Linked DNA regions of Caenorhabditis elegans. The protein of the gene in region 1 purifies or fractionates together with the protein of each later gene. This does not show direct contact. Each region holds a gene or a part of one and is shown in the gene's direction. Other genes may lie near its edges. The genes, in order: tag-191, dkc-1, nog-1 and chd-7.

Region 1 (7,954 bases):
ACTAGACTCTTCCTTTTGATCGTAAATATCACGTGCTATGTGTTTTACGAATTGTGTTGACTGTTTGATAAAATTAACAGTGAGCAAACATGCTATTCGGAAGAAAATAGAATGTAATTGAAAAGAAGTTTGTGGGGATTATCATAGGTTTATGAGGAAATAGGAATGAATAATTGACATTTAAAAAATTACTGGGAAAAAGTGTATAAAATGGGAATCATACTCATTGATAACACTTTTTTTTTCGAACTAAAATGATTTTTTTTCAAAAATTATTTTCTCTAGAATCAAATAAATAAGTTTGTTCTTATAGTGCCCAGATGTGCAAAAATCACAGGAAACAATTTCTAGAAAATTTTGATTTTTTACCAAAGAAAATTAGCTGAAATTTCATATACGAATTATGTTTTACTTGTTTGTATTAACAAAGGTTAAAGCTTGAAACATTTCTAAAAAATTCCAAAATTTCTATTTTTTTCGAACCAAAGCTGGAAAACTGAAAATTTTGAAAACTCTAAAAATTGTTACAGTTTTTAATTATAATAGTTGGTCATGTATGAAACTATAAATTTATTTGTTAAAGTTAAGCTATTTCTTTCTTTTCTGATATATATTTCTTTTAAGTTTTGAAAACCAGAATTATTTGAAAAAATACTAGCTAAATTAGGAAACCAAGCTCTATATAATCTGAAAACCGAATTCAATTCTCTCACGATTCTCAAGTGGTCCTCTCTAATTCACCGAACAAAATTCTAGTCTAAACCAAAAAAAAAGTGAAAAAAAGGTAAATACTAAAAGTATAAAAACCAAATAGAATTTTCCAAAAAAAGTGACGTTTGGCAAAAAAAAAAGTCCACGATGAAAAATGTAAGAAGATGATGGATAAATGATGATGGAAGTGGGGTCAACAGACGGAGGATTTCGTGTGAAATTTGAGTAGAGCGATAGAATTTTATTTTTTTATACGTTCACTAGACCATAGGGCATTTTAACTAGGGGTTTTTGAAAATATAAATGCTTTTCTAGGTTCTGGCACTTTCACTTTCAAGTTAAAATTTTAGGAAAAAGAAACACGAATTTTATTCGTTCCGGGAAACATCCAGTTAAAAGTTATCTAAATTTTGTCATCGTATGCTATTTCCAGACATGTCAGTAAAGCAAAAGTTGGTAATCACAAAAAATTGTTTATGTAAAACCATTGCGAAACCAAGACCGTGATATGGGCTGCGCTTGTTTTAGGAATTTTCAAATATACTTGAATTATTAATACAAAAAAGTAGTTATCAGTTAAGTGAGTTTTGCAAAAAAAAAAGCAAAACACTAACACACAGCTAAAAGTAAAAAAATCGTTTTTAGGAGTTGCAACTCCATTAAAAATACTAATCAATATTTATATTGTTCTGCTTGTACAAATATCATAAAAAATGAAAAATAATCCAAAAAATGTAATAATCAGATAAATCCTCCTATTAAGCTTCTATGTTGTTCGCTGGAATAAAGAAAGACTGAAGAGCACAAGAGAAAATCTCCCACGAAAACTGCTCCAATTTCTTATTTTTTCTCGCCACTGGACGAAAATTCTGGTTTTTTTTTCTGTTTGGTGCTGCACACGAGCATGTCTTCGGCTGGGGCGACAAGGTTTTTCCGGAGTATTCATGATTAAAACATTACGGAAGATATTAATGATTGAGTGTGGTTGGAGGGAAAAGGTGTCAATGAAGAAAAACGTGTAATAATTTTTTTTGACTGTAGAAAAGTTTTTTGTAGAATTTGCAAAATACTGGGGAAAAAAAGTTTAAAAATTATAGCAAGAATGGAAACGCACAAATATTTTTGAAAAGTTAAAATTTTAATTTCAAAAATTGAAAAAATGTTCAATACTAGATTTCCAGTTGAAAGTTAGATTTCACATTATAAAATTCGAATTTTTGGCCTTTTTTAGACCAGTGCAAATGAGCCAACAATTTTTCTAATTTTTGACCATTTTAAAAAGTTTTATTGATTAAAAAAAAAAGATTTATAATCATACAACTAAATTATAAAGTAATTTGATCAATTCCCTGGGGTCTTTGCATTATTTAAAATTAAAGAACACAGAAGAAGCACATACAGAGAGTGAGAGAGTGAAGATAATTACACGGACCTAGTGGATATTCAGAAGAGGCACTCTAGATCTCTAGACAATTTAAATGTATTCTCTGGGTGCACCAATTTCTGCTGTTGCTTTTTTGTTCTTATTTCTTACATATGTAGAGTAAAATAAGTAGGTTATAAAAATGTAAGTAGGATGGAAAAGAAGTGGTAGGAGAGATGAGGGAATAAGTTTACGACTCTAAGAACTCTCCTCCACATGTTCGAGTTTTAGTTATTTTCCACGAAAAAAGTTGAATTGATTTCGAGAAATGGGAATTCTTGAGTCCCAAACAACTAGAGGGCATGAGAGTAGTTTAGATTTAGTCAAAGATATCAGAAATTGTGTTGGAAAAACATTCGGGCGAATTAACAGAAAAACCTAGACCTGTCAGTTTATTCTTCGAATTTCGCAGCTTTAACTTGAGCTACTTGAGCAACTTTGGGAAGTGGGATCTATCAGTATGCATAAACAGAAGGTAGGCAAACAAGAAAGCAGGTGCCTAAGCCTAAAGTGCCTACCTAATGCGAGTGCCCTAACTTAAACATTTTTTTCAGAGACCAGTGAATAGCATTCTGTAAAGAAAAATGCTTATCATATTATAAAAATACCAGTTCCCAATTTACAGATGTTCTTATCAATTTTACTTTTTTGTTCACCCATGTATGTCTACTGATACATTTTTTGTTGATTTTGAAAGTTTTCAAAATTATTTGACTTCAAAAATGCCTAGCGGCCGACAATTGACAGGCTCGAGGTGAAGTCTAATTTTTGGTTTCACAGGAGCAGGCAACACCTCCCGTGCCTACGTTTAAGGTTGTTCACAGAAACCTGACGAAATAGGTAGGTATGCAGGCAGACAGGCAATATTACTTGAGACGTGCTTGTTACTGCTGAAACCCATGCCATGGTTTTTAAAAAAGTCGAAATATTTAATTTTCAAATTTCGAAATTTAAAGTGAAATTTTTTTACACTTGAACACACGTTGCCTAGCTTTGAACACACGTAGCCGACGTTTTTCGAAAGTTGTTTTTTTTGTGTTTCTCGTAGCTTCACAAAATTTATTAATCATTACTCGCTCTTCCTCCACTTTACGGCGGAAAAAGTGAAATTTTCGGCAGTTTCTCGAAAAATATTTTTCAATTCAAGCAAGATGCCAGACGATGTGTGCGACGAAACATTGAAAATTGGAGTGGTTGTTGGGAAAAAGTACCGAGTAAGTTAAACTTTACCTCGTGGCAAGCAAATTTATCGGTTTTTCAGGTTATCCAACAGCTGGGTCAAGGCGGCTGTGGATCTGTGTACAAGGTGGAGGACATCGAAGACAAGACAAAGCAGTACGCGATGAAAGTCGAGTTCAACTCGAATGCCAACGCTGGAAATGTTTTGAAAATGGAGGTTCAGGTTAGTAGACGAAGAAGTTTCTGGTTTGAAGCAGCTGTGAGATGTCGGGAGCTTTCAAATGGCAAGGTTACCGGAAATAGTCTCTGCCCCGTGAGGTGTCTGTCGCTTACTTTCAACTCTTTATAACTGCCGCATTGGACAGTATTGCGAAAACCCTTGAAGTGTCGGCTATTCGTTTCCCAAGAGAAAATCAATAGTGCGCTTGGCTGTGAAGAATGCTAAAATCCGTGATGTGTCTGCTGCTTGTAAGATCCATAATGAGGCAGTCGTACACATATTGGTTGAGACATGCTGATGAGGAGCCGTGAAGTGTCGGCTGCTGGGATCAGTATTAAAATATACTATATTCCGGCAGGTTTTCTCTGCCGTAATGGCGTCTGTAGCTTTCCCAGTAGCTTCTGACAGGCTGGGAGTAGTGCAATGTTTCAGGATGCTTTTATCTGACCCTTTAGGTGTCAGTGACTCTAAAATTGACATCTTATCATGTCATTATCTTATCATTATTAAGTATATACTGCCTATTTGATTTTAACGTAGTGGTTCCAGATCCTCACCCATCTTGTGTCTAAGAACCACGTGGCAAAATGCATGGCAAGCGGAAAAAAGGATCGATACTCGTACGTGGTGATGACCCTTCTCGGCGAAAGCCTTGAATCACTTATGAAGTGAGAGAAAATTCAAATTAAATCGAAAAATAATTGCTGAATTTCAGGAAACACGGACCATTTTTCAACGTGTCTACCCAAATGCGCATCGGGATTTGCCTTTTGTTCGGCATCAAGCAGATTCATGATGTAGGTGGAAGCAGTGGAGGCTGAATATCAATTTAACTTTCAGATTGGGTTTATCCACCGTGACTTGAAGCCTGCCAACGTGGCATTGGGAAATGTAAGCTCCTACTCTAAACTTCCACAACTTTATTCTCTGTTTTTAGAAAGGCTCCCCTGACGAACGCTACTTCATCGTGCTGGACTTTGGCTTGGCACGCCAGTACATCACGGATAAGGAGGACGGAAAAAAGATGCGTCGCCCACGTGAGAAGGCTCTCTTCCGTGGCACCTCCCGTTATTGCTCGGTAGCTATGCACGATCGTTTCGAGCAGGGGAGAGTCGATGACCTGTGGGCTTTGATCTACATGCTCGCGGAGTTGAGATGCCAGCTGGCTTGGTCTGATTTGGATGATAAGGTTCGAAACGCGATGCTCTCTCACTTCAATGTCACTAAAAAGTTTTCCAGGTCGAAATCGGGGAAATGAAGCGACACGTCGCCGACCAGAATCTCTTTGCAAAAAGCCCAATTCAAATGCTGGAGTTTGTCAAGATCGTTCGGGCCACGCAATTCTATCACCGCCCCGACTACGAAAAGCTTTTCAATCTCTTGAATGATGCCATGAAAAGCGCGAAGTACAAGTGGTCCGACCCATATCATTGGGAGCCCGAAAAGAGAAAGAAGAAGCCAAGTGTTCCAGCAGTTGGAAATGTCCCCAGAAAAGGTAACATATTGTTTTTTAATTCTTATAGTTGTAACAGTTTTCAGGCGTCACACCACCATCAAATGAGGAAGTTGATTTTTTCACCGTCGATGACTTCAACACAAACCCGCTCGGATTCTAGAACTTCAAGATCTTATGAATAAATTTTTAGATGTTTAACAGTTTTTTTTGAGTTACAATAATTTAAAAAAAAACAAGTTTTGCATTAAGATATTAATATTTTCGGAAGAAGAGGGAAGAGGGGAGGTAGAGGACAAGAATTTACCGTTCTCACAATTTCCTATAAAATCATCATAGACTTTCCCCAGAACGTCATTATTCTTTGTTTTCTCTTTAATTCTCAATCATCGATTCAAAACCAGTAGGTCCATTTTTCGATGAATTGAATAAACACATATTTTTGTAGGAGAAGAAGTCTGAACTGAACTGAACTGAAGAAGAGTGAACTGGAACCAAAAACGGATTAAAAGTTGAAAGAAAAAGAGAAAGTGGGTGAGAATGAGTGCAAGAAAAATGGAATGACTCTTTTCGCTTTTGATGTTGCACACCTGAAAAAGAAAAAGAGCCAACTCTTTCAATCTGCACTTTTTGTTGCAGGTGTTATTCGGGAAAAAATCTAGAAAGATTGAGAACAAAATAGAAATTGGAAAAGAAATACGTAGGTGAAATATTTTTTAGTGAATGAATGGAGAATGTAAAAAACGCCTTCGCCTTTCTCTTTTGCCTACTTTATTTTCTTTTATTTTCGATCTTGCTTTCAAGACGGCCTGCTTCATTGATGCGTACTGCCAAGTTACTTGCTAGCCTACAAAATTCGCAGGCGAATAGGCGGCAAGTAGGTACTAGGGCCTGACTAGATACCTTGGCTCAAAGAAACTTTTCCAGTAAAAAATGTGAAGAATAACGTCATATTTAGTTGCTCTCGAGGACTTTGATCAAGCTTTTGAAGCCATACAAATAGTTATGCTTAACGCTTTAAAAACAACTCTGTGATATAGTTATCTTTTGCAATTAAAATAATTTTTTTTAAATTTGGAAATAGACTTACTATTAGAGGAACAAAAAAAGGTCTGCAAATTTTATGTTTTAATAGTGCTTTCATTATTTCCATTTGAAAATTGTAGGAGCTCGCAAAAGCCCCATTTCCAGAATATCACAAAATACTAAAGTTTTTTTGTGAAAATTTGGCAATTTACCAAAACATAGACTGAACATTTAGAGAGATCTAAAAAAGTTTAGTGTTACTAATTGTGATTTTCTGCGATATTATATTATTTTACGATAGTTTCCTATTAATGCCACTTATGTAAATCTGTAAAAATAGAGATAAAATATGTTTTTATTGTTAGTTGATTTTTTTTTTGGTTAAAAAGAACACCGAGATATGCGTTTGCAAGGTAATTTTTGAAGGTAGTTTTTTTTTTAATGCGGAGTTCAAAAACAAGATAGAAGCATAAAAGTTCAGTTCAACTCAAAGGAAGATGCAACTATGAAAAATCTCGTTTGAAAGGTCTCAAACGGAAATAAAATCATTTCTAAACATACCTTCTTCTTCTTCAATCTCTTGCAATTCCATATTCTTCTGTCACTTTTTCTTCTTTTTCTTCTTCGAAGTGCTTCTCATTGACGACAGGAGGACAATAGACTTCTCATCAGGAGGTTCCCACCGGGCTCTACTAGATTTCAATTCCAACTGGACAAATAATGACACACAAGAATCTGTGTGATCCGATGTCTTATAAGGGAAAAAGAATTGGAAAAGCAATTGGGGGAGGAAGTAAAGATTATTTCGATTAAATGGAACTGAAAGAGAATGGAACTAAAAATTGATAGAGAGAGGTGTGTGTGCGTGAGCAAAAAGCGCTCGAGTCGCCTGTCTTTCTCCTTTTTTGCGGATATATAATCATTGATATCAAGTTGTGTGTGTGTGAGTGTGTTAGGAACAGACGAATATGAAAATAGCGTGAGAGATGAAGAGACACCAGACATTTGCAGCTGGATGAAAACGACTCAACCGGGTTGAGCTGGATTTTCAATTTCCAAACAGATCAGGTGCCTTTTATGAAAAAGTGATGTAAGGGAGGAAGAAGAGGATTTGAAAAGAGGAAGTTAGTGGGAGAAAAAAGGTATTTTTGGAATTTTTTGTTGCGTGATACTGGTTTTTAATGCCTTTACTTCAGATTTATGTATATGTAGGTTGACTGATAGGTTTGAAAAATTTTAACAAAAAAATATAACAACTTAAAGAGAAAAGTATAGAATACGGTTGTTACAGTAGTTTGACCGCAGTCAAGTCTGATAAAAACAAAAAATACTTTGAAATTAATTCCCGATGGATTTTTTTCGTGTATTATTCATACCAGTGAGCCTGGGCCACATTTGAGTAAAGAGTTTTGAATACGTAAACTTTTTTATGCTTTCAAATTTTATCAACTTTTAAAGTCAATTTTATTCAAGTTCTAATATATTTTATAAAGTCTATAGCAAACTATGAAAATTATACCTGATGAATTTGCTAGACATACTGCAAAAAATTCCCGGAACGTAAAAATCAAACTTACTAGTTATCCGATTTTTTGTCATTTTAGGATGTTGAGTCCATACTAATTAGTCTCAAGATAAACATGATTAAAACTAATCGAAAATTACTTTCATTCAAAAACTAGAACTGAACAGTTCAAAAAGTTCTTCGGCTCGGGAGTTGGTTTATCTTATCTGTTTACAATAGTAATAAATGGTTGAAACAAATGTGTCATTATTTTGATAATTCTAGGTGTTCAAACTCCCGATGTTTAGAGATTTATTTTCTAAATCCTTTTTAAACATCTACTGTTATTGTATAGATGTAATCTGATTGAGGATATGAGCTGATTTCTTACAGATTTCCTTAAAAAATCTTCACTTCAACACACTCACTTCAAAAAAA
Region 2 (7,210 bases), on another chromosome or scaffold:
ATTCGCACAACGATCAAACAGCAAATGTACAATCCTTCTTCTACCCAAGCCAGCACTTTGAATTGTAGACACCGGTTGGGTATGCAAATTATTTTTAAGTTAAGAAATTAATTGGCATATGAAATGTATAAAATGGTAAATTTAGGTGGGATGGTTTTGTGAGATTTGAAAACAAGGATTTTGAAAGGTTAAAGTGTTTAAAGATCATCGTCGTCATCTGGAAGATCAGCCTTGGCGGCGTTGTCCAGATCCTTTTCGTATTCGGCAATCATGGCTGGGTCCATTTGAACCTGGAAATTAAAATATTGCTTATGAAAGAACATGGATTTAAAAATACCTCTGGAGGAGCCAAAGCTGGCATTGCGACAAACTCGAGGTTTGGATCTCCGAGCAGCTTTCTGGCGAGCCAGAGGAATGGCTTTTCGAAGTTATAGTTCGACTTTGCGGAGATGTCGTAGTATTGGAGGTTCTTCTTTCGGTGGAAGGTGATGGTCTTGGCCTTCACTTTACGGTCCTTGACGTCGACCTGAAATTTGTAATTGAATATATTGGCCAGTTTCAGCTAGTGATTACCTTATTTCCGCAGAGAACAATTGGAATGTTTTCACATACTCTGGCCAAATCGCGATGCCAGTTCGGGACATTCTTGTAGGTGACACGAGCGGTAACATCGAACATGATAATGGCGCATTGTCCTGGAAATTGGGCATTTCAGAAGTTATAATTTCGAATTTTAACATACCTTGGATGTAGTATCCGTCACGAAGACCACCAAATTTCTCCTGTCCGGCGGTGTCCCAAACGTTGAAACGAATTTGTCCGCGATTGGTGTGGAAGACAAGTGGGTGAACTTCGACTCCGAGAGTGGCTGAAAACAATTATTGAACTGGGAGAAACAAATTCCTGAATTACTTACCAACATACTTCTTCTCGAACTCTCCAGTCAAGTGACGTTTAACGAAGGTAGTCTTTCCGGTTCCTCCATCTCCGACAAGGACAAGCTTGAAAGTTGGGATGCCGTCTCCACCAGACATGACTGAAATGAGGAGATGAGGAGAATAAAATACGAAGGAAAAAGATTGTCAAGAGGAAAATAGCACGAAACTTTTCGAAAATGCGAATTATTGCGAAATTCTACGTATTACCGAAGCTTCAGTTGAAAATCACGAAGCGGTGGATAAATATTTCAAAAACAAGAATGTTCGGATAATGTGTATTTAGAATTGAGCAAAAAAGTTTTAGAAGAGACGTGAAGCTGAGCAGAGAGATTATCTCGTGATCAGAGCTTGCTCATGGAGCAAAATCAGAGAGAACTCGAAAATTACAGTGAACCAACTGAGGAAACAACGCAAATGCATCAAAATGAATGAAAAAACCGAAAAAAGATGACAAAACTTGGCGCCAGGGACAAGAAAAGTATTCGAAAATGGCGCAACAAGCCAGATTTGCGCGCCAAAATGAACAAAATTCGAAAATGTTTTTGCGTAGAACCCCGTGTGTGTTGAGGCATAGGGGCACACACGCAGCCTGTGTCTCTTTCGTCTGGCACACTGCCAATGGGGGTTTCTTCTCTCGTTTTTCAAAAAATCGATAGTTTTCTGGCAGGTTTTCTGCTTCTTGACACTTTCCACGAGCTTATGAGGCATATTTGGAGTTCATTAGAACCTTATTAATCTTTAAACTCTTGTTAATCGCTTCAGAACTGTTGGATTTTGTCAATAATGTTATTTTTTCAGCGAAGATCTCATCATGGGCAAGAAGGATAAGCGTTCCAAGCTTGAGGGAGACGATCTAGCTGTTAGTTTTTAATTTTCAAGCCATTTATTAAATATTGAGTACATTTTCATTATTTCAGGAGGCTCAACAGAAGGGATCATTCCAACTTCCATCCTCGAACGAAACCGCCAAGCTCGATGCTTCCCAGTGGCCACTTTTGCTCAAGGTAGTTGAGTGATCTCATTTAAAAATTAAATTATTATTTCAGAATTACGACAAATTGAATGTGCGCACCAATCACTACACACCACACGTCGAGGGAGTATCACCATTAAAGCGTGACATCAAGAACTACATTTCGTCTGGATTCTTCAATCTTGACAAACCATCGAACCCATCTTCTCACGAAGTCGTGTCCTGGATCAAGAGAATTCTTCGTTGCGAGAAGACCGGACACAGTGGAACACTCGATCCAAAAGTATCGGGATGTCTGATCGTTTGTATCGACCGTACCACTCGTTTGGCCAAGTCGCAGCAAGGAGCTGGAAAGGAATACATCTGCATCTTCAAGCTCCACGAGGAAGTTGAGGATGATCGCAAGGTGAAGCAAGCCCTCGAGAAGCTCACCGGAGCCCTCTTCCAACGCCCACCACTGATCTCAGCTGTCAAGCGTCAGCTTCGTATTCGTACCGTTTACGAGAACAAGTTCATCGAGTATGATCCAGCTCAACAGATGGGAATTTTCAAGTAAGAATCCTTATAATAAATCTAATTTCTAGTTTTCATTTAATTTCAGCTGCATCTGCGAGTCGGGAACCTACGTTCGTACAATTTGTGTGCATCTCGGTCTCATCCTCGGATGCGGAGGTCAAATGCAAGAGCTTCGCAGAAACAGATCCGGAATCTGCGATGAAAACGAGAATATGGTCACAATGCACGACGTTCTCGATGCTCAGTATCTCCTAGACACCCAGAAAGACGAGAGCTACATGAGACACATCGTTCGTCCACTTGAGGCTCTTCTCACCCAGCACAAGAGAGTTGTTGTCAAGGACAGTTGCATCAACGCGATCTGCTACGGAGCCAAGATCCTTATTCCCGGAATTCTTCGTTACGACGATGACATCGAGGTTGGCAAGGAGATCGTCATCATGTCGACGAAGGGAGAAGCCATCTGCATCGCTATTGCTCAGATGAACACATCAACGATCGCTTCAGTCGATCACGGAGTCGTTGCCAAGTCGAAGCGTGTCATTATGGAGCGTGATGTGTACGGAAGAAAGTGGGGACTTGGACCGGTTGCATCCAAGAAGAAGCAAATGGTCAAGGACGGACTTCTAGACAAATTCGGAAAACCAAATGACACTACTCCAAAATCGTGGGCCAAGGAGTACGTTCAAACTTCGACGAAGAAAGAAGTCAAGAAAGAGGAGACGCCAGACGAGGAAGAGGAGGAGGCACCGAAGAAGAAATCCAAAAAGTCCAAGAAGCAAGAGTCGAGTGATAGTGATAGCGATTAAGCTCATTTTTATGTTTTTTCTTTTTTAAATTACCTCTGTTGACTATTTACTTGTTGTTCAAAAATCTTTTTGTTGTTATTCATTCTAAACATCGTTTTCCTTGTTGTACCAATTTTGTTGAACATTTGAACTTTATATAAATCGGATTTTCGAAAGAAAAAACGTGTAGAGATCAAATAACATAATTTAGGAGTTTCCAGGCAGTGTCGACAACGATCGGACGTCGAAAAAATTATTTTTTTTTCTTTAAAAAGAACATTTAGATTTTTAAATGAGGAAAACCATTCTTTTAGCAAAGAAAACAATTCATTCGAAAAATAAATTGACGTGGCCGACGTGAATTTACGAGGCCCCACCAAAACAGGATGCAGGGGGGGACCTATTCGCAACCACCGCACACGTTTTTTCTTTTGAAAAAATGCAACAATATCATGGAAAAAACGTGCGAGGCTTGCGAAAAAAGTGTGCGGTGGTTGCGAAATAGGCCCCGAAATAAACAAATTATAACTTAAATTAGTTTGTGAAGTCGGTTTCTCTCCGACACACGCGTCACATAAAAATGTGTATTTGGCGTATTTTGTCTTCATTGGCAAAGCGAGAAGAACAAGACGATCAGCAGCACAAGGATGAGGAGAAGGAACGCCGGCGGTTGGCTTATGGAATTGCCGCGAATCCGGTACGTTTTATTATCGATTTTTTTGCAACGTGGCCTAGAAAAAGCGAGAGCTCGGCCAAGATATTTGAAGGTGGCCGAGTTTTCGCATTTCGCGGCCACGACGTAAAAACGGAATTATTAGCATTGAAAGAGCATTGAAAAAACGCAGTTTTAAATTTCAGTATGTGGTAGAAGAGATCAAGACTCCCAATGGAAACGTCACAAAAGTGATGGAGAAACGACGATCCGCGGTGGCCCCGCCCATCACACCAGCCCTCGGAGCAGGCTCGACCAACGGACCATACGAGAGTCGGACCAAGACCGCTCAAAAGGAAGAAGCAATGAGCTGTCACTTGCAAGTGATCGCCGACAATTGGGGACGTGGAAAGGAGCTCATTTCGCTCATCAATGATTTGGATCTCCCTGCGCCGCTGGTGACGACAGAGGAAAAGGCGCGGTACGCTTTGGAGCTCGTGCAACATCATGTGGAGAAAATGACCGAGCAGAAGGTTTTCCTGCACGGATATCTTGATGATGGACCGCCGTTCGTTTGCTCATCGGAGACCTTGGCGAAGGAGATCTTCAGCGATGCCCGTCTTGAGCTGAAGCTTGAATTGACGTCACCGGTGCACATGAAGATGGACGTGTTCTCTGTGAAATTGGAGCCACAACAGAAGACAGTGCTGCCAGAACCCACCAAGGAAACGCCGAAAACCGACGCTCTCCTCACACCGGGATCTCATGTAAGTTTAAAGGCACACGCTGGGTCTCACAACGATTTTTGTTTTCAGATTAAGGGAAGATCAATGGCGGCTGAATCGTCGAAGCGCAAAGCCCCGAAGCTGCCCACTGATTTGACGAACTTGGTCCCACTGCTCCAACAAGCTCAGATGCTTCCAGTCACCGAAAAGGCCACCAAGGAGAAGCTCCAGACTCCGGTTAGCTTAAATCTCATGATGTTTTTATCTAAAATTTCAAATTTTCAGAAGCAATCGCCAATGCCAGGCACCCCGGAAAATACGTCGCTCCCACCGTCCTTGATTAAGAAGAAGAAGAAGGAGTCGACATCGAAACAAGCAGCGCTGGAAGCGTTCGTCACTGTGGACAAGCCACACGATTGAAGTTCTTCTGAGCCCCCGACCGCCTCTCGTGATTTTCCCCCGTTTTTAGGTCCTTCATTTTTTTTATGGAGCCCCATTTCCCCTTTTCTATGCTCATCGTTCCCCACAATTGTATTATTTATGACCTCGTATAGTCCCATTCTTTTTTCAAACTCCCCGTCCGTATTTATTTCCCCACACAATTTCACTTCTATTACTTTTCTCTGACAATAAATTTTTTTTTGTCAAATTTTGTTTCTCTTTCGACATCAAGGAACTTTCAGTTTAATGATTTAGTGGGTTACTGTAGCTCTTAAAGGCGCACTCATTTTTTACGGGCGAAATTCAGGTGTTTCTAGGAAGTCTGTTTGCCATCATATTTTATCAGATTTTTTTGGCCGAAAAATTTGTTAGTCGATGCACCATGAGTTTTGTTCTCGATGTTCTTCATTTTTGTGGGATTTTCTGCAAATGCAGAAAATTTGTCGATGCACCATGAGCTTCTCAGTGTTTCTAACATATTTTTTATATATATTTCTAAAGAGATTTTTGTTGTACTATCCATTATATAAAGATAATGTTCAAACTTTATATAAATCGGATTTTCGAAAAAAAAAAGAAACAGCGGAGATCAAATAATTTATGAGTTTCTTGGGAACAAGAGACTGTCATCATCGTCTGGTACAGTGTCGACAACGATCGGACACGGTGGCGGGCTATTCGAATTGTCATCGAAAACGGAGAGGATGGCCGCCTCGTGAACTTCTCCATCGCCAGAGTCTTCAAGGAAATCTTGTGGGAAGCTGGAAAGCAGATCTCCATTGGCCGCCATGTGCATATCATTGAGCATATCGGCCGCGGTTTGCTGAAACTGAAGAATGGTTTAAGGAAGCACGTGGAGTCATACAGTCCCTTTTCGCTTTGATCTACGAAAAATGCGGGAGAAGAGACGCAGACATCTTATCTGATTTTGCATGGTTAAGAGCGTTCTGACGTCACATTTTTTCTGGGAAACAATTCCCGCATTTTTTGTAGATCAAACTGCAATGAGACTTTCTGACACCACATGAGGAAGGCTATTTTTTTGGCGAAAAAATCCCGAAATTTACAATTTCTGACATTTTTTTATTTACTAGAGATCGATTTTTAAACGAATTTCAGGAATCTCTTTTACAAATCTATGTTTTCCTTTTTCTTTGAAAAATCGATACATAGTGTTCTGTAGTTCTTAAAGGCGCGGCCTCAAAAAATATTTCGTTCGTGGTAAGACCCCTACCGCTTCAGTCATCTCAACGTCCTGCGATATTTTCGATTCCTTCCTACGTTGCAGCTCGTGTTCTTCGGTTGTCTGGAATTAAAATAAAAATTTTGAAAAAAATTTCAAAAATTGTTTTTTATTCTAAAATTAAAAATACATAATTTTGTTCCAAAAAAAGTTTCTAAACTACTTTTTCCTTAAGAAGAATACCTAAAAGAATTCAAAATTCGCAAAAAATTAGTTTTTTCTCAAAGATTTAAAAACAGTATAGTTTTAAAAAAATTTCTCAAAAAAAATGTTTTCCCAAAAAAAAATTTTTTTTAATTAAAAAAAACATTTTTCGAGAGGTGTTCAAATTTTGGACCTTGTGTAGAGACTGTTTTTTGGAAACATTTCAGAGAAAACTTTTTTTTTTCATTTTTCTCAAAATTTTCTCCTTCTAAAACTTCAAATTTTCTCACAAGAATTCGATGTCCCGGTGGCATTTCAGGCCACTCATCATCTGCATCATCTTCCTCAATCGAACGCTTCTTCTTTCCCTCGGAAATCCGTTTGTGTCGTCTCTCCATCTTTTTCTTCAGAAATTCGCCGTAAGCGTCGACGAACGGGCGGTATCTGTATGGAAAATAGAATGTCGAATGTAATGTGTCTCAAGAAATTTTTATTGATTCAATAATATTTAGTCTCGATTTCAGGGGTTAGCACAAAAATTGGTATAGATTTTACAAGATAATTCAAAAAGAATATGGGAATGAGATGAGAGAACATGATATTGAACACGTGTATCGGGGTGGGGAGTGATTAAAGCTCGTCGGCTTTTGGGTCTTGGATTGTTAGCTTGGATTCGTAGTATCTGATAACTTGGCTCGGATAGCTGAAATTTAGAGCTTTTTTAAATGCCAAATTGAGGTTCGCTTCCTAGCTAAAAACTCTAGCGCCGATCGGGATTTCAGTTTTAAAT
Region 3 (8,506 bases), on another chromosome or scaffold:
AAATGGCAGCGTATATTAGTTTGACGGAAGAATGTCGATCCAAATATTTTGATTCTTTAGAAAAAATTATTGGTAAATAATTTTATAAATAATTTTAATTTCAGTAGATTGTGGGAAAAACTTTTGAATATTGATGAAAACTCCAAAGCAACAAAAGGAGCGCATCCTTTTGAACTTAGCAAACAATTGTAGCGGCGCAAAAATCACATAATCTCGCGTATTTATAATAAACATTTAAACGAGAATTCACTGTCATCATTTCAGCTTTGGAGCAAGATATGGCCGTTGAGCATACGCCGGAACACGTACGTATCACGGATTCTCAAGCAGTTGGACGACTTTCCACGTTTATTTTACCAGCAATTCCGACTGAAACTCGTCTTCGATTGATTCTCATTTTTATGTTGACTATCGGAAAGGATAAAGATGAACAATACTTCAATCGACTTCTACATCACACCGATATTCCTGAATCGGAATTTCAGATTATTAAGAGAATGCTCATTTGGAGAGATGTCAGAGTCTTTTTTAAAATTGTATTCATCTTCTTTTTTCAGAAAACTCAGAAATCTCAATTCCAACATCGCCGACCACCACCAGAAGACGAGAGGTTTATCGCGAGTCGTTGGGATCCGAAAATCAAAAATCTTATCGAAGAAATTTACGAAAGACGATTGGACGAGCGGGAGTTCAAAGTAGCTGGTAAGAAATCGACGTCTGACTTCCGGCCGGCAGCAAGTGCGAGATATGGAAGTGGATTGGCTGGAAAACCACGCGAAAAACGAAAAATTATCATTTTTGTCGTAGGTGAGGTGATGTTTCGTTGATATATTCTGATTGGAAAGCATTTTCAGGCGGAATCACATATTCTGAAATGAGAGTCGCCTACGAGTTGTCGAAAAAGACGAACACAACAGTAATCCTGGGATCAGACGAAATTCTAACGCCGTCGTCTTTCCTGGAGTCGTTACGAGATCGAAATACTGTAAATTGCTGAAAATACTGTATTAATGTCCCCGAATATCGCTTTGTTTAAATAATATTCACAAAAAAATCTCGTTTTTCCATGTATATGATGCCATTTTCTATTTATCTCAAATAAACCACAGTTTCTATGAAAACAAAAACCTTCATTCGTAAATTATTAAGTCTCGTTACGTGGAAGTTGTAAAATCTATTTAAATTGCCTTTTCTATTGCCGAACAATTTTTCCGCGCGCCTGATTTTCTTTAAACCTCAAATAATCTTCCATTTCCTGATGTTGAAGTCGTGGAGCTGACATTGACCATTTCTAAAACAATAGAAATTTATCTTGAGACAAAATTGATTTTTTTTTAGCTCACCCGAATTTCCATAGCACCGGTATAGGCACAATACGCACCAGTTGTCACAAGCAAGAAAAGTCCAGAAGCGTAAGCATGAGCTCGAATTTTAGATGGAATTCTCATTTTTACGGATATTATGAGAGAAGGGAATCGAGGTTGCGTCAAAAATGTAGAATCGTTAAGAATTTACTCGGGTACGGTATGCAACGGTGTTTGCAGACTAGCAGGCTCATACACTTTCACGCGCAATTGCACACTTTAGGGTCATACGACTTATTTTCTCCATCAAATTTTCGTCAATTTTCGAATGTTTTAATATTTATTTGTGATTTTAATTCGTATATTCTGATAATTCTAAATTAAAAACTTATTTATACGGTCACATTAACTTATCGGCGAGATTAATGTTGCAGAAATTGGCGTTTCTTCCAGTTTAGGCCTAGAGTTAATTTTAAACAAATTTGCACAGTTTTTGTAGCGTTATTCTTTTATCATCTGTGTTAACAATTTCAGACGTTCATATGGAATTGTAAGGAATTTCAATCTCCGGAGAGGGGTCCTTCTGACACGGGGTATCTTGTTTTGTTCAATGTATTTCTTAATCCCTAACCTTTCACTTGTCATTTTCAAAACTTTACAACATATTTCAGAATCAAACAAGGGTTACACACAGTCGTCATTGCTCAAAATGACGTCGATGTATAATTTCAAGCGAATTACATGTGTTCCCAATGCACAGGTTTGTTCTTGTTCTGATCATTGAGAAGTTATATTTTTCAGGAACTGAAAGATGTGGTTCTCTCAAAAACGCAACGCAAAACACCAACCGTCGTGCATCGCCAATATTCGATTGGAAGAATCCGTGCTTTTTACGCAAGAAAAATCAAGTTCCTACAGCAAACTCTGCATGACAAGCTCACGCAAATCATCACAGAGTTCCCGAAAATGGAGGAAATTCATCCATTCTACTCGGATCTTATGAACATTCTCTACGACCGTGATCACTACAAAATCGCTCTTGGACAAATGAACACAGCTCGTCATTTGATTGACGGAATCGCCCGTGAATACGTTCGTTTGATGAAGTACGCCGACTCGCTTTATCGTTGCAAAATGCTCAAAAGAGCCGCACTTGGACGTATGGTCAAGCTGCTAAAGCGACAAAAGTCCAGCTTTGAATACCTCGAGCAGGTCCGTCAGCATTTGTCTCGCCTTCCAAGTATCGATCCAGCTACTCGTACTCTCATTCTTTGCGGATTCCCAAATGTCGGAAAGTCTTCATTCATCAACAATGTGACACGTGCTGATGTTGAAGTTCAGCCATATGCTTTCACTACAAAGGCTCTTTATGTTGGACATCTTGACTATCGTTTCCTCAGATGGCAGGTAAGTATTAAGCGAATTTCTTTTGAACCTTGATAATAATTCACTTTTCAGGTTATCGATACCCCCGGAATCTTGGATCAGCCACTTGAGGACCGTAACACCATTGAAATGCAAGCAGTTACCGCATTGGCTCATCTGAAAGCATCAGTGCTCTTCATGATGGATGTTTCAGAACAATGTGATCGTAGTATTGAGGAACAACTTCATCTCTTCGAATCGATCCGTCCATTGTTCGCCAATAAACCAGTTCTTATTGGTTTGAACAAGGTTGACATCAGACATCGATCTGATTTGCCACCAGAGAAAGCTGCATTGTTGGATCAACTGGAGAAGGAAGGAATTCCAATTATTGAGACATCTACACTTACACAAGAAGGAGTTATGGGACTCAGAGATCGTGCTTGCGATGAACTTTTGGCCCAGCGTGTTGAAGCTAAAATTCAAGCCAAGAAGATCACAAATGTCGAGGATTGTGTGCTGAATCGCGTATTCGTCGCCTACCCGGCTCCACGTGACGAGAAAGTTCGTGCTCCATTTGTTCCACCAGGTTTGGCCGCAAAAAGAGCTCAGAAGAAATTGCAAGAAGCTCAAGAGCTCATGGAGACTGATGGAGATGAGTTCGCAGCAAAAATTCCACAAAAACCAGGCAAAATTGGAAAGGAAAAGATTGCAAAGGGTGGATCCCAATCCACCGATCTTGGAGATCTTCGTGATGAGAACACCCGTCGTTTGGAGAGAGAAATTGAGTTGGAAATGCAAGATGATTATATTCTGGATCTTAAGAAACATTATATGCTGAAGAATCCTGATGAGAAGTACGATATTGTTCCCGAAATCTGGGAAGGACACAATCTTGCTGACTTTGTTGACCCGGAAATCCAGTCAAAGCTTGAGAATCTGCTTCGCGAAGAGGAGCTCTTGGAGCAAGCCGGAGAGTATGAATCAGATTTGGATAGTGATGATGAGGAGACCAAGGAGAAGTTGAAGCTTGCATTGCAAATCCGAGAAAAAGAAAAACTGTTGACTTTGGATCATGCCGTTAACAAGAGAATTGCCGGAAGAATTGGTTCACGTATTCATGGTTCAAGAAAGAGAGATCGATCAATGTCTAGATTAGAGAATGAGCTCGGAGAGTTAGGTGTAGATGTTGACACGAAGAAAATGAAGAACTTGCAAGGACAATGTGCCAAACCACAACTTGGAAAGAAGGTTTGTGTAGAACCGAAATCTATAATTTCGGTTTCAAATTAACATAATTTTTCCAGATGAAAGTGGGTCGCTCGCGCAGTCTCAGCGCCGTCCGTCCGGCTCCACGTGATGAGTTGGCATTCCCAGACGAGGAAAAACGTGCACATGTCGACAAGTTGCGTACGAAAGCAATGCGTGGATTGCGCCGAGAAGCCAAGAAGGGAGAAGCCGATCGTCACGTATACGACCTCAAGCCAAAGCATTTGTTCTGTGGAAAACGTGGAAACGGAAAAACCGATTGGCGTTAAGAACATATATATCTTTTGTTCATTTTTTTTTTGTTATTTTTGTTTTGTTATTCTGTTCGTTTTTTTTCGTCTCCCTGCTTTTTATTCCTTCCAAAAACTGTATACCCATCCATCCATTTTTACCTTCTTCTCACTGCGTCAATCGGCTTCTCGCCCACATGAGTTTCCCGAATAAAATTCTTCCTGATATTTTTGTAGATTCTGAATTATTTTTTTTCTTCGATATTGCACATTTTTTAGCATTCCGTTGAATTTTTCGCTGTATTAGAAAAACTATTTTTTAATTAACTCTTCAGATGGGCAAAAAAAGAAAGATTACGGATGAAAAGGATGCTCAACACGTGCCAGCTGAGAAACGAGAGGTTAATATCACATTTTCAAAGAAACGTAGTTCTCAAACACAAATTAATTGCAGAAAGTAGAAAATTGGTTAAAGAAATCTACGGAAAAACCAACAAGTTCACAATCTGACGCTGAAAAGAAAAAGAAACGTCCATGGCGTAATAAGGTCCGTAAACTTGCCGCAAAAAAGGCAGCAGCTGACAAGAAATCTGAAAATCCAGAAGAACCTCCGCTGATTCTCGAACCAAAGAGTTCTTCGGATGAAAATACGAAAAAGAAGAGAAAACGGGGCCCAAAAAAGAAGAAGTTCAAGCCCGAAGTTGCTGGAAAAGCTGCTGAAACTGAAAATGATGACGTGGCAGCAGCTCCAGAAGAAGCAGATCCAATTGCAGAGGCTAAAAAGAGACTTGACGCGGGACGATTCAGATTTCTGAACGAAAAACTCTATACATGTACTGGTTCTGAAGCATTTGATTTCTTCAAGGAGGATCCGACGGCTTTTGATCTATATCACAAGGGATTTGCTGATCAGGTAAACATTAATTGGTATCTCAGTTTCACAACGAAGCCTTTAAAATGATATATGTGCCATTTGAAGGTGTTCCAAGAGTATATGTTAAAGGTGGAGTAGCGCCAGTGGGGAAATTGCTTTAAAACATGCAAACATATGGTACCACAATGACCGAATATCATGATAAAAAAATTCAAAAATTTTTTCTAAATTTTATATGATTTTTTGAAAATTGAAAAAATCTCAGTTTTTGCCTAATTCCTATTTGAATTACCGCCAAGTGGATTTGTTCGATGAAGCGCGCTTGCACGTTTTTAAATTTATTTATTTTGTTTTTTGTTGTTTTCCACCGATTTTTAATGTTTTCGGTGTATTTTTGCTCGAGTTTTAGAGAAAAAGTCAAAATAAATGAAAATTTTCGATTAAAAAGCACGCTTTTCTCTAAAGTTCGAGCATACACCGAAAAGAATACACCGAAAACATTAAAAATCGGTGAAAAATAACAAAAAATAAAATAAATAAATTTAAAAACGTGCAAGCGCGCTCCATCGAACAAATCCAATTGGCGGTAATTCAAATAGGAATTAGGCAAAAACAGATTTTTCAATTTTCAAAAAATCATATAAAAGTTAGAAATTTTTTTGAATTTTTTTATCATGATATTCGGTCATTGTGGCCCCATAGGCATGTTTTAAAGCAATTTCCCCACTGGCGCTACTCCACCTTTAATGCAAAATTTTAAACGGGAAAGCTATACTCTCAACCCCTAAAATGAGCGAGAAAACTTTGTCTTGTCAGTTGTGAACTCTCAAATTTTCAGGTAAAAAAATGGCCAAATCACCCACTCCGCGAGATTATCCGCTGGCTTCAATCCAAACCGGATCAACAATCAGTATTCGATTTGGGTTGTGGAGAGGCTAAAATTGCAGAAGCCGTTGGAGAAAAGCATAAGGTTCATATAATTCCCTGGAAAAATCACATTACATTTCTCATGTTTTTTAATAGATTCGCTCATTCGATTTGGTTGCAGTGAATGATCGTGTTGAGTCGTGCGATATGTCGAAACTTCCAGCTGAAGATTCATCAGCTGATATTGTTATTTATTGCCTATCACTGATGGGAACAAATCTTTATGATTTTATTCGAGAAGCTCGAAGAGTTCTTAAAATTGGGTAAACAAGCATTTCAATTTAAATATAAGCAGACACCGTAACCGAGAGTGCCTTTTTCGATTTATCGGTGTTTTTCAGGGAAAATCGAAAAATCAGAAAAATAAATAAATAAATACAACCATAAATTCGATTTTTGTCGGTGGTTTTTTGGGTGAGGTTCTCAGGATTCTTGGGTGAGGCTAGGAATTAAGTTGATGTCACGGGTGGCATTTTTCACTTTTTCGATGTTTTTCAGGAAACTAACATTTTTCGATTTTCCGGAAAATCAAATAATCAAATAAAAATGTTCAGAAATAGTCATAAAATACCATTTTTACCAAACTTTGCTTATATTGATGAGAAAAAACATAAAAATTCTTCTGTAAAGAAGAGAAAAAACCAAATTTTCAAACTAATTTTTGAAAAACAGAAAATTTATTTGCAAAAATCAATTTTTCAGAGGAATTCTCAAAATCGCAGAAGTCACATCTCGTTTCGTGTCAATCAAACAATTTTGCGAGGCGATCACAAAAATGGGATTCGAGCAATCACACCGTCGTGAGCTAACCGATTACTTCATGATGATGGAATTCAAGAAAGTCGAGAAAGTTGAGCAGAAAAGGCCATACGGACTCAAATTGAAGCCTTGTTTGTATAAGAAACGCTGATTTTTTGATTTTTTGTTGATTTTTTAAAAACGATGATCATTGGAAATGCGGTTTCCCGTTTTCAAAGATTTTTCATCAGTTTTCAATTGTTTTTGTTGTTGATTTTGAAATTGCTGCCTATTCTGTTCTGATTTTTCGAAAACTAAAAATCTTTGAAAAATGAATGTAAATTTATAATTCTATTTTCGACCATAAAATTCAGATTCTCTAAATATAATCACCGTCATCATGGGATAACTACAATCTGACAGAAGACAGAGACTCGAGAAAATGTGAATACAAATTGGCTGATATAGATTTTTTCAGAAGCAAGTAGTCAGTTTCTTTGATTTTAATATTATGATACCCAATTTTGCGACTTTCGATACGTAGGTCTCTAAACGATCGAAATTTTACAACTACAGTACCCCCGAATTTTTTTTTGCGATTTTTGTTTTCCAAAAATTCAAAGTCCAAGTTCTACAAATGTTGAAATATTAAGCAATTTTGGTGCAAGCCAGGAATGGGCGGCAACTGTCGTTCGGCAAATTCGATAATATTTGCCGGAAATTTTCCAATTCCGAGAAATTGCCGGTTTGCCGATTTGCCGGAAATTTTTGTTTTCGGCAAATTGCTGATTTGCCGTTTGTCGGATATCAGATTTGTCAGAAACGTTGAGAGCGATTGTTTAAAGACGGAAACTCTTAAACTGTACCTTTTAAAAATTTTTCATGTTTTCTTTAGATATTTCATATAATTTCTACACTTTTCAAAATAGATGTAGGAACATTCATAGGATGCGTACAATTTTGCCGATTAAAATTGAAGTTCTGAAATTACTTTTAAAAAATGTACATATTTTCGGCAATTTCCGGTTTCCGACAAATCGGCAATTTATCGGTTTGCCGAAATTTTTCAATTCCGGCGATTTGCCGCTTTGTCGATTTGCCGGAAATTTCAATTCCGGCAATTTGCCGGAAATTTCAATTCCGGAAATCTGCCGCTTTGTCAATTTGCCGGAAATTTCAATCCCGGCAATTTGCCGATTTGCCGGAAACTTCAATTCCGGCAATTTGCCGATTTGCCGGAAACTTCAATTCCGGCAGTTTGCCGATTTGCCGGAAAAAATTCTACATTTTTTATATTGCAATTTTGTTTGAATTATTCGTGTTAAAACATTGTAGGAGTCGAAACATACGACATTGCTTTGTATTTCCTCAAAAGCTCATATGTTTCAAAATTTTGTAAATTTGCCAAAACTTTTAGATTTTTCAACATTTCCGGTCAAAGTTTTTGGAGTGTTTTATTTTAATATTCGGTCGTTTTGGATCTTTATAAGTGTATTTAGGCAAAATCTCTACAGACGCTACTTCCACCTTTAATTATTGAAACAATTCAAAAGTGTCCCAAAAAATCACCGTCCAAATGCCTGCGTCTCTGCGCGGAGACACATCACAATTCAAATGATGTTTGTTTTTTTTTTGGCGCCAAAACTTCTAGAATTACCAAGTTAGCTATTTCAATTTAATATTTTGATTTATTATCAATTAATTGAACCAAGATTTCAGAATTTAAATTTTTTTTGTACTTTTTGGTTACCGTATTTCCTCTACAAATATATCCTGACATACTAATAATTTTCAAAGTT
Region 4 (8,263 bases), on another chromosome or scaffold:
TTACGAAAGGAGATTTGATGACATGCCTGAAGGATTTTAATTTTTTTAATATATAGTTTTTTTGGAAAAATCAGTTGATAAGTGTCAAGGGAGCAACATAACAATTTCAAATTATAAACTAAAATTTTTTAATGAGAAAATTAATTTCAGTAAGATCAGTTCTGAAAGGCACGTTTGTAAATCAACAGATAAATCTGTAAATTTGTGATCTAGATTTATAATATTTTCTTTCTTTCCAGAGAAGATTTCTAGATTCAGTCACTTAGATATAATTGGGTTTCGCGTCTCTAAAATTTTTTTAGCTCTAGTTTTAAAAAAAATCTTTAAATCTGAAATGTTCACCAGAATATTCAGCAGCTTCTGAAAATTTTTAGCATGTGGGTAGGACTTTACTATTACTCAGCAGCAGAGCGTAAAAAGTTGAAGAGACGCAGACATATCGGGACCCAGAGGGAAGAGTCGAACTTATGTAGATCTACGTCAATAACGCTCCGTAAATCTACACAACTTCTGCTCTTCCCGCGCCACGCCCCCTGGGTTTCAATATGTCTGGGTCTCTTCAACTTTCTACACTTTACGGTTGCGTAATATTTTTACTCTTCAAGAAAGAAAATACTATTTCTTATTTAGACCATAAATTGTCAAAATTCAATCGAAACTTTACACTTAGACAATAACGATGAACTAATGGTCAGAAAGTGGAATTGTCTTATCATTTCTTATCAGTGATGATGCTCTCTCTCTTTCTCACTATGTCACTATCATTCATTTAGGGGGGTACCAATCGGCGGTGAAAAGCAAAAACCGCTCTTTTTCTCATTTAAACAGAACACACACAGACGACGCTCACACTGCGCTCACTCTCAAACACACACACATACACACCTTTGGCCGCTCATAACCAAAACGTCTGGGGGCGCACCTCTGGGTGGTTGAATTGGGAGGACCAAACGGGGGGAACAACGTGTGAGTGTTTTATGAGTTCCTTCTTTGCGCACACTCCACCGCTCACACAGAAAAAGAGGTCTGCGCAAGGCAAGCATCAGCAGCAGCAGCACGCTCTCTCTCTCCCTCTCTCTCTCTCTCTCGTAATAGTAGTATTGGTTAGTAGAAATGGAAGGAAGGAGGAGGTGGAAGAGACGACGACGCAGAGTAGTGGTCAGAACATGATCAGAGAACAGGTGAAATTGAGAAGAGCAGATGATAGACTATTGGAGAGTAGAGAGACGGACAGAAAGAGATTGTGCGCGTTTTTGTGGTGTAGAGAGGGGAAAGGGTTGTTGGCCAATAACACTCACCGATAGACAACACAGCAAAAACCAAGTTGCACATGCTTCTTCCTTTTTTCTTTTTTAAATCATATTTTTCCTATTGGTATTTTGTGGGATTTTCGGATTTGGATAACGACTTTTTTTCTGATATCATTATTATTTATCAAACTCATGTTCAGGGGATCTGTATATGGAGAATTCCATATGCCGAACTGAAATGTACTTGACCAGTAGTGTCAGAGTTCTCCCTTTCGGTTTGATCTACCAGAATTGTGGGAATTTAGATGACATCACATTTTTCTGAATTAAAAATTCCGATTTTTCTGTAGATCAAACCGTAATTGGAGAGCCTAAAACCAGGTTCTAGACAATATCTTCCGCCCTTAAAATTTCAAATTTTCCGCTACTTTTCTTTTGACTGGAATTTCCTGATTAAAATATGCGGTACTTCGTAAGAGTAAATAAATCGGTCCCTGTCTCGACGGCTTCACCATTTTCTGGGGGCCAATGTCGTCGGCGCGTCCTTTCCGTCCATTTGAACAGCTTGGCAAATTGCCAACGTTCTCTCTTTTTCTCTCGCACAGAGTCTCTACTGGCCAACTTGGCAAAATGCCAACTTTGGCGTTGTATCATCTTGTGTGATTAGGAAGTTCCTATGTTTTCCATTACTTCCGTAGAATTCGGAAAAAAAAATTCTGAAAATCTGTACTACTGCGATGTTTCATTTTAGCTAGCGAGTCGAGTCCGCTGATCAAATAAATATCTAGAGCTAAATGAACTGATTCATTTTTCGTCTACTGATGAATATGAAAGTTTGTGACGTAGAATTCATCTGTTGTTTGATGTCATGTGGCTGGCCAATTGGGTTTTCTCATTATCAGGTCTGCAGTTTATGTTGGTTTTATCTGTTTTTGCTTCAAGATTGATCGAAAGTTTTCTCGATAATTTGAAAGATATTTAGTAGTTTTTAAGAGTTTTTGGGTTCAACAAATTTGTAAAAAAATGTTTGAGGGGGAAATGAATTTTTTAAAATGAAAATACATCAATTATTGTGAATGCCCAAATGTTAGGTCTCAGCACGAAATCTTCTGTTTCTTTTTCTTCCGTTTTCCTGATTTTGAAAGTCTATTGTATTTAGATATTCCAGTTACTGAATTTGTTTAAAACTATATTTATTTTCGAAAAAAAAAATTTTCCAGAACAAAAACTTGACAGTAGGGCTTACAGTAACCATGGTTTCATCTTTAGAATGGTCAGTCTGGTTAATCGAGACGCAGTTAATCACTTGTTCGCTTCGTTTCTTCGATAAAAGAATGAATTGTATGTGAAAAAAAACACTTATCCTCGTTTTTCTCCTTCTACTCATCTCCAAAAACCAAAACCTTCATCATCATCTTCAATTTCATCTTGGTCAACCACCACCACCACCGCCGTCCTCCATCTCCTCCTCGACTCGATCCGTCCGGCGTCCTCCATCCTCATCATCATCATCATCAACAACATACCGGGAAGGGGACACAAATGTCCCAGCAGCGACCAAGAGGGGGTCCACCCCACACACATAGCACCTCTACTTTCTACATCTAACCCTCTTTCTCTGTGTGTGTGCTAGAATCGATTAGAAGAGTTGAGAGAGAAGAAGAGACGACCAAACAGCAAGAGATGATGAGAGAGTGCTCAAGCTCGGAGAGAGACATTAGACAGTGGGCAATGTGTGAGAAGGAGAGAGTAAGAGAGTCGAGAGAAGTGTCCTGGTCTGTGTGTCCGTTTCTTGTGTTCTTCTTCTTCTTATTCCTTTTCGTCTTGCCATGTCTGCATCTCGTATACTATAATACTATTCCCATGAACTCTCACTCTACTCATTCGTCCCCCCGTTTTTTTTTCTCATTGCCATTGCATACGCACTACACACACACATACACTCACCATCAAATTGAAAACGAAGATTCGTTTTTTTTTGAAGAACAAAAAAACTTCCTTTCTTTGGGTTTTTTCTGGCCTTTTTTGGTTGATGATGACTGTTGACGATAACATCTTTTTTGCAAAAAAAATTCGCGTCTTTTGGTTCTAGATACTTCCTTCCATTTATGTCTCCATTCGATTCCATAATATATTATTTATTCTGAAAACCTTGTAGCCCGATTCAAAAGTTCAATATTTTTTGTTCGCAACGAAGCGCATTTCAAAAATACGGTACCCGGTCTCGACACGACAATTTTTCTTTGGAAAAATGCTCCTTTAAAGAGTACTGTAACTTCAATATCGGAATTTTTATCGATATTTCTTTTTCTTTTCGATAAACATGTATTTATTACAACCCAAACATTTTTAAGAAATCATAAGAAAAACTATGAAAAATGTATTTAAATTATGTTTTTGAAACTACAATACTCTTTAAAGGCGCACATATTTTTGTATTTATCTAAAAAAATAGTCGTGTCGAGACCAAGTGCTGCTAAATTTCTAAAAATCAAATAATATTTTTCTTTTATATCTCGAACTACCATCTTTCTTTTTTCTTTTGTTTTTTCCTATCAATAGTGAAATAATCGGTCCTCAACATTTCAAATTTATTAATTTATTTTAATTTTCAGATGATAGGCTGCTGAATTAATATACAAATTCAAAAAGAAACAGCTGACGCATTGTGAAGAATTGGATTTTTTAAATTATATATTTTCGCTTTCTTTTTGTACAAGTTAATCTCATTATAACCACATAACCAAACACACAAAATGGATGAAGGTGAGTCTTTTTGGAAACATTTGAAAATTGAATTTATTTAAGTTCGAAATTTTTTATAGTATTGTAGATTCTTGAAAAATGTAATTCACTTTAGAGGTGCAAAGGGTCTTGCAACTATTTCTAGCATTTTTACAATCGAAACATTTATGTAACGATTTTTACTGTTTAGGGTCTCGACACGACTTTTTTTTTATTAAGTACAAACGTGTATGTGCCTTTAAAGATTACTGTAACTCAAAAATTTCGTTTCTACGAATTCTTCAAAGTTTCTCGTTAAAAGTTGATATATTTACTAAAAAACCAAAATAAATCACATAAATTTTAACAAATCGTGAGAAAAACTGAAAATCGAGGAAAATTCCGCAGCAACGAGAGTTTGCAACTACAGTACTCTTTGAAGGCGCATACCTTTTTTAAGATCATACAATTTAGAGTCTAGGTAATATTACATTTTTTGTTGCATAAGAAAAATTAATCATCATTTTAATAAAAAAAATATCGAATTCTAGTTTTGGGAATTATTCAAAATTTTTGCAGGCGACGACTACGTTCCACAAATGTCCCAAATGGCAGATTACACAATGATGGGCGGCCCGCCACCACAACAATCTCAACAATCTCAGCAGGGCGTTCCTCAACGGTATCCAGGTCAACCGATGAATCCATATGAACAACAACAACAGCATCATCAAATGATGATGATGCAGCAACAACATCAAATGCAGCACATGGCTCCACCACCACAACAAGTACCACCACAGCCAGCTCAGCCACCACCTGCAAAAAAGGCACGTGGAAAATCAAAAAAGGCTCAGGCAGAAGCGGCGGCGGCTGCAGCGGCGGCAGCAGCTGCACAGATGGATCCGATGGCGTCGATGGCGGCAATGTCGAATAATCCAATGATGAGACAGGGTGGATATCCGGTAAGTAGTTTATTTGGAAAATCTTGGAAATAAACTGCCTAAAAACTTTATTGATAGAAAAGAGCAGTTTTGGGATTTTGTTTTAAATAATAGACTACATATTAAAAAGTTAAAATTTTTTAAATTGTCTCGAAAATTTTAAAATTTAAATTATTTAAATATAAATATTCGATCATTTCAGACTATTTTCCATTATTTGAAAGTTTCAAATTGAAACAAAATCCCAAAACGACTCTACTCGACCTTTAAAATTATGAATATTTTATTTAAATATCTAAAGAATATCACTGACTCCTCTCAAAGTATTTTCAGAACCAAATGGCGATGTACGGCGGCGTTCCACCACCACACTATCCATCATCCAATGGTCCATCACAACAAGGGTACCGGCCAGGACCCGTAACAAATGGACCACCACCGCAAGGACAATATCCACCACCGCCACAAGCACCTCAGAACTATCAACAAATGTACCATCAACAACGAGCTCAACAACAACAAGCCGGCCAACAACAAGCCCAAGGGCCACCCGGATATGGTCCATATGGTTATGCACCACAGGCATCCACTGGATATCCACCACCACCCTCCCAACAATCACCGTATGCTCCACAAGCGGGACCTCCTCCACAGATGAGGCATCAATATCCACCACACAGTCAACAACAGGCACCACCAGGATATTGGGATGGTTATCAGGGTTACGGTGGACCACCACCTTCACAACAGCAGCAACAGCAAGGAGGTGGACCTGTGACGGCGCCTCAATCAATGCAAATGGCACAACAGGAACAATGGGGAAGAGTTGGAACCAATGATTTGATGGTGAGTTGGTAGTAGGAATGAAAATGCGAGAAATTGCAAACACAAACAATGAAAAGTCAAAATAAAGCCTCTTCTGAAAAACAAATTCAAATTCATCTTGATACTTGAGAAAAATTGAATTTTGTAGGTTTCACGTATAATTCTTTAGACTATTTTGCAAGAAATTTCCTACAATACGGTCAAAATATTATTGCCTAAAACCAACAAAATTCGATGTTTTTCAAACATTCAAAATATATTTGAATTTCAAATTTTAATGGATTTTTCGTCTTTTTGAATTGATGTGCAAAATATCTCGTAGCGAAAACTACAGTGATTATTTAAATGAATACTGTAGATTTACAGGGCTCGATTTTTTAAATTAGCAAAAAATGAGAAAATACGAAAAAGCGAAGGAAAATGGTATGTAGCTACTCGATAGAATACTCGTTTCGAAAGTCGAGCCCATAAATCGATATAAGAGCTACAGTAGTCATTTACACAATTACTGTAGTTTTCGCTACGAGATATTCTGCGCGTCAAATATGTTGCGCATTACGCATTCTCAGAATTTCGGGTTCCCGTAATATGTGTTTGTGGTTCAAATTTTAAAAATAAAAACTAAACTAAATCACTTATTTTTCAGAACGTCATTGCTCAAGTGGAAAAATCATCTGCAGAATGCAAGGCACGAATTCAACAACTCTACAATATGCAACGAAGTGCGTCGGCTGACGCAGAAGTTCAACAGCTGCAACATAAACTTGCTCAGTTCCAAAGTGATCATTATCGGTACAGCCAACAGCTTCAACACGTGCAGTGGCAACAGCAGCAACAACAACAACAAGCTGCTGCTGCTGCAGCGGCGGCCGCAGCAGCTGCATCTGCTGGCGGACATCATCAAGGACCACCACCACCAACGTCTTCCCAATCGAATCAAATTCCATCGAATCCGAACTCAGTGCCAGTTCATGTGAATCAACCTGGAAGTCAAGTTCATATAACCGCTGATAAGACGAGGACACTGATATCTGTCTACCACGATGGTTACGGAGGTGCGGGATCTGGAGCCAGCTCCACTGAAAGCAAGGAATCTATTGTGCCGCCTGAGCCAACTCCGTCTATGCAAGAATCACCGGTTCCAAATGCTCCACAGGTTAAGATGGAACCAGAGAAACCATCGCCGTATCAGCAACAGTATAATGGAATGGAGAATGGTTCTGGAAATCCGTATGCTCAGCAACAACAGCAGCATCCGATGTATGCACAGTATCAACAGCAGCAGCAGCAGCATGCTCAACATCAGCAGAACGTAAGCTTGTAATTCCTAATTAATTCTTAAATTTTTGAATATTTCAGATGTCTGGATATCCTCAACAGCAGCAACAACCTCAACATCCTCACCAGCATCAACAGCCTGCTTCGGTCCCAATGCAACATCATCCTCAGCAACATCCATCCCAACATCAAACCCAACCCAACCAACAACAGCAGCAGCACCCATCCGGATACGGTATCGGTGTTAGTACGGCGCCGGCTTCAATGGAACCATCACAATCAGTGGATCAATCAGCACCACCGAGTCAAGCCCAAATTCCGGCAACTTCTACTCCATCGACATCATCTCAACAGCAGAACGCCTACCCGGAGTTTCCTGATTTTCCATCGTCGTCAGGATATCAAGAGCCTACTGTTGCTCCTGAAGCCATACCATCTCCATCTGTATCTGATCCGATAATGCCACAGTCTTCTCAAAACGATCAAGAACTTCAGGCAATTAGTGATCAACAGGAAATTCTAGAGGACGTTCCGAAAGAAGAACCAATAATAGAAGAGGATGAACCAAAGTATGAGTATTCTCAAGAAACGATTCCAGTTGAAGAACTGAAAGATGAAGTGGAATTTAAAGAGGATCAACAATCAACTTCGAATCTATTAGAAGATGATACAGGAATTGATAATTTTGTAAAGAATGAAGAAGGTGCTGAAGCGGGTTATAGTAATGGAACTCCTTTGGATCAAGTTGAGCAGAATGATTACGAAAACATTGAGAAAGAAGAGCCACAAGTGTCAGTAGATCCCGAGCCCGTGGAAGTTGAAGCTCAACAAGAACCAGCAGATACTGAGGAATATCCTATCCCATCTGTTGGAACAATTGAAGAGCCCGCCGAAGAGCCCGCTGAAGAGCCCGTCGAAGAGCCGGAGCCAATGGATGATAGTTCACCAGTTGACCAATCTACTCCAGTGAAAGCTGACGATATTGAGAACTTTGCAGGAGTTGAAGAGACTTTTGGCGAAGAAGAAGAAGTTCAGGATGAAGACGATGATGAAGCATCCTCTGCAAAATCATCAAAAGACGACATCAAGGAAGAAGAAGATGATGACACATCAACGATCACAAAAGATATGAGTGAAGCTCCAAGTGAGACGAATGACGGATTCACCGAACCTTCAACTCCAGCTACTCCGTTGATGGGCGCAACATCATCAAAGAAAAAGTCATATCGAAGGCCTGCTGTA

Evidence for each region.
Region 2: the proteins of tag-191 (region 1) and dkc-1 fractionate together in Caenorhabditis elegans (co-fractionation; one large-scale study listed by BioGRID). This does not show direct contact.
Region 3: the proteins of tag-191 (region 1) and nog-1 fractionate together in Caenorhabditis elegans (co-fractionation; one large-scale study listed by BioGRID). This does not show direct contact.
Region 4: the proteins of tag-191 (region 1) and chd-7 fractionate together in Caenorhabditis elegans (co-fractionation; one large-scale study listed by BioGRID). This does not show direct contact.

The regions. Positions count from the first base shown.
Region 1 is NC_003283.11:14,531,641-14,539,594, reverse strand, and holds tag-191 (Protein kinase domain-containing protein), read left to right. Parts: upstream 1-3,220; 5' UTR 3,221-3,285; coding exon 3,286-3,348; intron 3,349-3,395; coding exon 3,396-3,536; intron 3,537-4,082; coding exon 4,083-4,201; intron 4,202-4,248; coding exon 4,249-4,330; intron 4,331-4,373; coding exon 4,374-4,424; intron 4,425-4,470; coding exon 4,471-4,722; intron 4,723-4,772; coding exon 4,773-5,028; intron 5,029-5,072; coding exon 5,073-5,149; 3' UTR 5,150-5,190; downstream 5,191-7,954.
Region 2 is NC_003281.10:10,746,693-10,753,902, forward strand, and holds dkc-1 (Putative H/ACA ribonucleoprotein complex subunit 4), read left to right. Parts: upstream 1-1,736; 5' UTR 1,737-1,749; coding exon 1,750-1,797; intron 1,798-1,855; coding exon 1,856-1,942; intron 1,943-1,984; coding exon 1,985-2,463; intron 2,464-2,512; coding exon 2,513-3,236; 3' UTR 3,237-3,388; downstream 3,389-7,210. Other genes in the region: GTP-binding nuclear protein ran-1, read right to left, coding at 198-290, 338-526, 574-695, 743-868, 917-1,034; enu-3.6 (ENhancer of Uncoordination), read left to right, coding at 3,796-3,912, 4,074-4,634, 4,683-4,829, 4,878-5,012; Chromobox protein homolog hpl-2, read right to left, coding at 5,632-5,862, 6,268-6,339, 6,711-6,864. UniProt on the Caenorhabditis elegans protein: Plays a central role in ribosomal RNA processing. Probable catalytic subunit of H/ACA small nucleolar ribonucleoprotein (H/ACA snoRNP) complex, which catalyzes pseudouridylation of rRNA.
Region 3 is NC_003282.8:392,042-400,547, forward strand, and holds nog-1 (Nucleolar GTP-binding protein 1), read left to right. Parts: upstream 1-1,838; 5' UTR 1,839-1,897; intron 1,898-1,975; 5' UTR 1,976-2,013; coding exon 2,014-2,064; intron 2,065-2,105; coding exon 2,106-2,711; intron 2,712-2,762; coding exon 2,763-3,920; intron 3,921-3,976; coding exon 3,977-4,207; 3' UTR 4,208-4,379; intron 4,380-4,503; downstream 4,504-8,506. Other genes in the region: uncp-18 (Syntaxin-binding protein 1), read left to right, coding at 1-72, 265-515, 558-807, 855-997; T07A9.15 (Cytochrome c oxidase assembly protein COX14), read right to left, coding at 1,193-1,291, 1,344-1,448; rrp-8 (Ribosomal RNA-processing protein 8), read left to right, coding at 4,504-4,569, 4,623-5,081, 5,881-6,012, 6,066-6,232, 6,672-6,879. UniProt on the Caenorhabditis elegans protein: Involved in the biogenesis of the 60S ribosomal subunit. Has a role in regulating longevity, growth and brood size. May regulate fat storage via the insulin/IGF pathway.
Region 4 is NC_003279.8:4,694,178-4,702,440, reverse strand, and holds the start of chd-7 (Chromodomain and Helicase Domain protein), read left to right. Parts: upstream 1-3,865; 5' UTR 3,866-4,006; coding exon 4,007-4,016; intron 4,017-4,553; coding exon 4,554-4,939; intron 4,940-5,251; coding exon 5,252-5,764; intron 5,765-6,389; coding exon 6,390-7,055; intron 7,056-7,102; coding exon 7,103-8,263.